Schizosaccharomyces pombe: one gene and its partner. The protein of the gene in region 1 interacts with the protein of each later gene in a biochemical or structural test. Each region holds a gene or a part of one and is shown in the gene's direction. Other genes may lie near its edges.

Region 1 (4,225 bases):
TAAATCCAAGGTACTAACATCTGAGCCAAAGGACTCTACCTCTGTTGAAGCCGAAAAAACCGAAACTGATGAGCCTGCTGTTGGTAAAGGAGCATCCGATGTGTCTGATACAGCTGAAATTTCTGAGAAAACTGAAGCCAAGAATGCTGATTCGGAAGCCAATTTAGAAGAGAAATCTGACGTTGGGGAAGAAAAGGAGAGTAAGGACGAAAATAACAAAGCTAGTCTTCATAAGGATGTTGAGGAGAAAGATACAAAGATAACAAATGAAGACACTGGTAAAACGGAGACCGATGTCAAAGCCAAGGAGACTGATAGTATAGAGGCCAATGACAAGGATGAAAAGACCGATAGCAAAGAAACTGAGGACAAGGTCGAAGAAACTGAAAGTAAAGAGGCCGATGTCAAGGCTAAGGAGACTGATAGTATAGAGGTCGATGACAAGGAGGAAAAGACCGATAGCAAAGAAACTGCGGACAAAGTCGAACAGACTGACAGTAAGGACACTAACGAGAAGCCTGCGAAGGATGATAATAAAGAGGCAAATGAAAAGGCTGAAAAAGTTGACAGCAAAGATGTTAAGGAAAAGATCGAGGAGGCTGCTGATCTACAAAATTCGGGAAAAGAGACTTAAGGGAAAGAACAACAAGGCACATCATGATAGGTTCAAGAGTTGTAATCAGCTAATGGTACTATATATGCCTTGAGTATTCAGGGTACGAGTAGCTTGAAGATTTAAATTTTGCTATTTTCGGTGTTCCTCAGCTTTACAGTAAATGTTTTAGCGCTGTTTCGATTTTTCTTATAAGTAATGTTTTTTCGAGCTCTTTTGTTTCATATTTTTATAATTGAATTATTAATAATCAATTAAATTTTTCACGACAATCGCAATCCCGTTGATGAATTTGCAAAGTAACTTTAATTTAAGATTGTGCTTGAAGTTTTATCGAAACCATTTGGATAAACTGAGTAGCTAAGTATCCATACATTCACTCCATCCTTGCGTGCATAGCAACCTTTATTCTTTTTACCACTACTGTACATGAGACATATGATGCTTACAAAAAAATGATATTCATTGAGAAGGCACGAAACAACGTGAATTATTAAAACAACGTATTTTAACTACAACAATAACTGAATACAACATAAATCAAACTAAAAAATGATATAAAATATAAAAACTGTACGTAGCATTCGGTCATCACGAGCCATGGCACGAAGCAACGACTTCACGATGGTTTTAAGCTATGCTGTCGGTCTCCCCGACATAATCTATACCGATTCCATGAAGAGGAAAAAGCTGCAACCATTAATACGGTTCTATATTATAACCGCGTTAGAAGAGAGCAGACTTTTTGACATCAGTAATTCATTATTTTGTGAGATGAAGCTTTGTTTTAACTCACTCACATTTCTTATATACTAGGAGTCAAAAAACAGTCACATGTGTTAGTGCACTTTCGTTTCATCTCATTATATCAAAAATATAAACAAATGTTAAATAATCTTCAAAGGACGGTATGACATGAGAAAAGCAGTGAGTCAGAACATTAATTTAACTCCAAAAAAGTAACATGGATAAGCATTACTATGATAGTTGGTGTGCCGAATGATTGTAGTATTACATAGCCAGAGCCCAGAGTTTATTAGGTCGATCGGTTTTAATCAGATGATGTCCACCATACCCGCGTTTTTTAATTGGTTCTGTAACTGAAATGATGGGTATTGAGAATGTATGTCAACAGCGCCTCTAAGCCGACCTGTTCACTAATCCGTTTTTTCCCGAAAATTGAGTCTTTAAAGATATAACGAGGTGTTGCATACCGGGTTAACAGTACAATCATCGAACCACACGGCACTTAGATCAGATATAATTTAATCGTATCTCTTTATCAGATTAAAACAAACCACCAACGACAAACGTTTGAAAAAGTGAGATTTTTAAGCTTGGTCAGTAGAGGCATTGGAGTATTGGAAAATAAAGATTTATATATTTTGCTAAAAGTGTAGTTCTGTACTTGATATCTCCTATCCCCCCAACTTTTTTTTTGCTCATGGAATCGTCTAAAAGTCCATCGGAAGTGGAAAAATCATCTTCTGCTTCTCCAGCACCTCAAAAGCCGATGATTCGCGTCTCTAAACAATGGGTTGTTCCTCCTCGTCCCAAACCAGGAAGGAAACCTGCGTTAGATGCTCTGGGAAGAAGAAAGGCACCTATTAAACCAAGACCTGGGCCGACTTCAGCTTTGTCGGTCGAGGAAGCCAAATTCCGTGTTCGTGAAAAACAATATCAGGATACGATCGGAAAGTTACAGAAGGAGAACAACGAGCTGCTTGAGCAGTTGGAGATGCTGCAGGCTCAGTTGAAGAATTCTACTTTGGATAGCCCCAAGGAAGTCGAAGTAAACTCTGAAGTTGTCAAGCCAGATTCTGCGACTACTGAGAATGAAAACCGTTATGTAAATCAGTACAATTATCCGGTCGAGCCGCCCTGTGCTAAGAATGCCGTTTATACAGAGATTCCCATTGAGCTAGATCCTCATGCCTTCTTGGGTGATTCGGCCAAGAGAATTCGTGTGGATAGTGACAGTAAAGATGCAAAGTCCGTTCCATCCGAAAATGGAAGAATTCGTGTATCTATGTCTCCCCAAAACGAAATTAATTTTACACCTGAAAACCCAGCAGTAATGGAGAAGATACGTAAACGTGGTGTTTGCAATAGTGTAGAAGGATGTTTGTACTCTGGAAGCCCTAAATCTGTTAAACGTGTCCGTGAATCCGAGGAAACCAAGGTTTATGCTCAACTACTTATTGACTTACACAAGTCCTCGAAGTCTGCTCCGATGTTAAAGGCAGGTCCTTCAATCGCCTTCAAACTTCCTACCATGGAACCAAATTTTAACGATGTTCGTCCCGTCACTTCCATATCCTCTTCTTCCTAAGTTTCCCAAAAGTTTTTGTCATCTCTCATCTCCTCTTGTTATTGCATCTCAGCAGCGACTTTTCTGTTTGTAAGTGATCTCCATTACCTTTTTCCATGGTACGGAATTTTTATTTTCGGACTTAATTATCTTGCTTCATACTATTTTATTCGTTGTGCATTTTCGTTCTTTTTGGATTTCTTTCTGTTAATACTAACGTTCACTACTGGTATTTGAACCAATACATTCAGAAATATTACAACATTTTATTTTTCGTGTTCTTGGTATTTGTTTTAAGAGTGTGTTTTTTTTTTACTCACTAGACTGGCTGTACGTCGTAAAGTATGTTTCCTTGACATATTCTAGTCTAGATCGCTTTGTTCATTACATTGCTTCCTTTTCTGTTATATATGTTAATTTCACTATATGTTTTGTTTTTATATATTTTCTGATTTGTATAGAAAAGAATAAATCTTTGTTATATTTTTACTCAAAATGTTCATAGCAAACATTTGACTTTACAAACTGCTAAGCAGTGTTTTTAATAAATTTAATGCTAAAGCCTTCACTGTGTTTATTATGGCTTATGTTTGAAGCTTCGTATTTCCAAATTTAAAAAGTGAATAATCTAACAATGTTAATATGCTAGTCAATTTTTTTTAACAGTGTGGTGTACCACTAGAATTTCTTCGTTTTGCAATTGCCCTGGTTGAAAGAAAACTTGCTAGAGCACCGAAGTTCTTGTGTACGGTAATCTTTTGGTGAGACCAATCCACTTTCGCATTCAAGTAGAAAGAGTTGTAGTGTCCTAAGGATCTTATATGTCTTTCTTTCAGCGTCATAATCAACTCATGGTTTTTTCAATTCAATTCAATCATATAAAATAGGTAAATTGCTAAAATTGATTAATTTCATTTTGTAAATTTGAAGAGGATATAAAACAGTGTGCGCTATTTCCCCTAATGATCATTTAATAAGTAGTTACAATTTTATATGAAATCCAAAATTACATATCGTCAATTACGATTAAAAATCGTTCTTTGTGATGTGCTTACAATTGAGCTTTTATTCATAACTTTTTTTCAAAACAAGTATTATGCATGTTAACTGTAATTGCATCAAAAACTATATTGTGCTGCCAATTTTAACCAAAATCCTATATGACTATCCTGGATGCATGATTTTTTTCGTAGAATTCTCTATTGTCAATTAGGGTGCATTCACCCCAATTATAGAACATCAAATTATAATTCAACTTTAAAAACTTTTATTTCATGTATTACTATATACTCTTTGAGATA
Region 2 (3,696 bases), 2.0 Mb from region 1:
CAAAATCCCCTAGAAATAAATATTTTGTACCTGGACATGACCCACCAATTCGAAAAAGCTCCAGTAAATCATGCAATTGGCCATGGATATCACCACAAATGGTTACAGGAGATGAGATCCATTGTATGTTAGATTCCTCAATTAAAATATCTCTTACACGCTGACAAAGTTCAACAACTACCACAAAACGTTAGACCCCATTCTTATAATTATGGCAAAGAACAACCAATATGAATGATCGTTGTTATATCGACGGAGATAAAAGTTATTCTATAAATACTATTATACATACCATTTGATTCTGGAATTAACCTTCCGTTCTCCAGTTCCTCAAGTTGCCAATCCAAATCTAAATCAGTCATTTTGAACTCGTCAAAACATAAAGTAAAGAAAACTAGAATAACTTGGTCCTTTAGAATAAGAAAATAAACAAGTGAAATTCTTTTTCAACTTTATGTATCATTTAAGAAATTTAATTTTAAATAAGTCAAAATACCTCTGTCAAGAGGTATGACGCGTAGAGCTTTGGTGACTAAAATTCGGTTTTCCTTTTGATAATGACTTTTAAAATAATTAACATGACCTCCTTAATTAGCAGCTTCCGAATTTTATTGACACATACGTTGCGTTACGCTAGATTGTTTTTCAGAAAAATACGGTTGCTCCACCATTATTAGTGCTTTCATCTCGAAATGAAATGGACACAAGTTTTTGTATTAGATTGTTTTTTTTTAATCATTTATACTTAAAATTAATGATGAACTAGAATCTTTTAATTAAGTTGCATGCTACTCCAGTATGATTATTATAGCATGCCGTATTATCATTGATCTTGAGTTTTTATAACGCTAATACAAGAACGTGCACCTACTCATATATATATCTAGATTATAAGAAAAACTCCTATAGTTCTAACGGATCTAAATTGTTCGCACAAATGCGCAGCTTTGATGTTATAGGGTTTTTGTGAAATAAACTACATAACACTATAGCTTCTTGGTAAAAATCAGATAACACTCACAATTATAGGTAAAATAATCTGTATGCTGAAGGCGTACCCCTGTGGCGGAATATACACTCAATATAGAAAAACTGTATAGTCAATTCGTGTTGCAAACCCATAATTTATGTGAAGCTTTAACATAATTTGCATACTATTCTTTACTTATGTTCAGTCGGCAACTCAAGATGTTCAAATAACTAAAAAGATTTTAGAAATATATTCTTTCTATCTTTCAATATGGTTTACTGCAATTTGCGTACTATCAAAAGAATGAGGTGTGTAAGAAATGCTTGCCCTGAGCAGTACAATGCAATTTTTTAATACTTTAACTATATCAATCAATGTGTATGCTGTTGTTTTTATCAAGTATGAAACATATCTCATCTTGGTTGTTTTGGTCGCTTGTTATAAACTCATTTGGCTAGTAAAGCGACTGTTAATTTTATGTACAACATACAAAAATAAAATGTTAACAGAATTGTTTGGGTATTACGTAGAATCGGAGTATAAGCGCAACACACTAGTTTTTTTTGCCGAAAAAATTATTTTCCAGACGTTTTAATACCGAGGGATAAAGTTATCTGATCAGTCACGATGGTAATTAAAAAAATGAGATCGAGAATGCCGTTTAATGAATAGACAATGAAAAAAGTGAAGAAGAATCATCAAAACGTACATCAAAAGTGGTTTAACTAAAAAATTTCGAGTAATTTACTTGGATATGTTTTTTGCTGCAATTATATCATTTGCGTCGCCTATTGTGCAAGGAAGAGATTTTACTAGATACGTTTTCTACACTGCTCAGCCGAACCTGCCGACAACCAACTAGGAAAAAATAGGGCGTTGATTGTTGATTAAAAAGAATAAACTAGGTTTTTGAAAAAAAAAGTAGGAAAAGAAATAATTCCTCAAGCTGTGCTATTTTGATTGGAAATGAGCGTCGAAATTACTTTTGTTGAACAATTTCAAGAGATATTGCAAAATGGAAAAGAGCAAATAATTTTACTCAATTTTTATGCACCATGGGCTGCTCCATGCAAGCAAATGAACCAAGTCTTTGATCAATTTGCAAAGGACACGAAAAATGCCGTTTTCTTAAAAATTGAAGCTGAAAAATTTTCCGATATAGCAGAGTCGTTTGATGTAAACGCTGTTCCTCTATTTGTTTTAATCCACGGAGCAAAAGTTTTGGCTAGAATTTCGGGGGCAAATCCTCAAAAATTGAAGGCTGCTATTGACGAGTATATTCAACCCCTTATCTCCCAAATATCCTCTACCAACGCGTCCGTGGAAACTCAAGTAAATTCCGTTCAGACTACCAACACTACTTCCAATACCTCTAAAGCTCCAAATGGGTTGGATTCTGAACTAAATGAAAGGTTGAGCACGCTAACAAATGCTCACAATGTTATGCTCTTTTTAAAGGGTACTCCTTCAGAACCTGCATGTGGTTTTAGTCGTAAGCTCGTTGGATTACTTCGTGAGCAAAACGTTCAGTATGGATTTTTTAACATATTGGCTGATGATTCTGTACGCCAAGGTCTTAAAGTGTTTTCCGATTGGCCAACTTTCCCTCAATTGTACATTAAAGGTGAATTCGTCGGTGGTTTAGATATTGTTTCGGAGATGATTGAAAATGGTGAATTGCAAGAGATGCTTCCCAATTAATTGTTATCTGTGCATATGAAGAATTGTACTTTTAATATCCTTAATCATTCTTTTATGTTGATGATTTTGTGAAAGATAACTTTTAAATTGGATAATCAGATAATAATACGATTGCAGATTTAGTTTTCTGTTAATTTAATTTTGTTAACTAACCGCCTCAACTTATCAAAACAAATGTTAATAAAACTATATAACATAAAATGAGTTTAAGCAAGTAAATAACGCATAATAAGCAACCAGGTTAATTAAGAATACACAAAGGAGCCAGAACTACCATTGCAACTATTACTTCGTACACTTTACCATTTAGCAGTACCCCCAAATTTCAGAAAAAATAAACAATTAGAGTATGCAATACAACTGCGCCAGTATCCACACAAAAGAACTAATCGACTACTACACCTTTCTCTACATTTTATTTCACAACTTAAAAACAACAGATTCTCATTCACGAACAATGCCTACTGCTCACATATTACATGAAAACCGAATACTGCTTAGCTCATCATCTACACACTTTTTGACTATGCACATCAAGTTATAACAATTCTCACAAACGATTCACGACAATTGTTACAAAGAAATGTACAGAAAACACGTCAGAAAACACCAGCTGCCCTACATGACACGACCAAAAGGAACATATCATGTAAGAGATCATCGCAAATAAAGATAGCACAACAATTAAGCAAAAAGCCAAATCGATCAGCACATCCTCAAAGAAGTAAAAATTCTCACTCTGCGGGCAACGGTGCCTTCTATCATCATCCGTGTTGAGTTCTGTGGCTAGGTTAGGAAACCCAAGCCGGACGTATACTATAGAAATGATCCTATGGAGTATCGTCGATGGTCTTCAAAATCGCGGACGATGCCTTTTTATAGTAAGTATTTGAAAAAAAGCAGTCACTTGGCTTTGCAAAAGCAGCCAATAATATTGGTGCTACCTTCTAAAAAATTTTCCACACCTTTACATCGTAAATTACGAAAACCTTTTTAGTGTGTTGTCAAACTTTAGGTTCTTAACA

The links.
Region 2: the proteins of php4 (region 1) and grx4 form a complex in vitro, tested with the Schizosaccharomyces pombe proteins (one study listed by BioGRID).

What each region holds. Positions count from the first base shown.
Region 1 is NC_003423.3:1,914,570-1,918,794, reverse strand, and holds php4 (CCAAT-binding factor complex repressor Php4), read left to right. Parts: upstream 1-1,902; 5' UTR 1,903-2,057; coding exon 2,058-2,945; 3' UTR 2,946-3,420; downstream 3,421-4,225. Other genes in the region: SPOM_SPBC16E9.02C (CUE domain protein ), read left to right, coding at 1-634. UniProt on the Schizosaccharomyces pombe protein: Component of the transcription regulatory CCAAT-binding complex. Required for the reprogramming of the cell for iron use. Down-regulates pcl1, sdh4, and isa1 underlow-iron conditions.
Region 2 is NC_003423.3:3,955,568-3,959,263, forward strand, and holds grx4 (CIA machinery monothiol glutaredoxin Grx4), read left to right. Parts: upstream 1-1,816; 5' UTR 1,817-1,936; coding exon 1,937-2,671; 3' UTR 2,672-2,912; downstream 2,913-3,696. Other genes in the region: pph3 (serine/threonine protein phosphatase), read right to left, coding at 1-177, 293-362. UniProt on the Schizosaccharomyces pombe protein: Monothiol glutaredoxin involved in the biogenesis of iron-sulfur clusters. Binds one iron-sulfur cluster per dimer. The iron-sulfur cluster is bound between subunits, and is complexed by a bound glutathione and a cysteine residue from each subunit.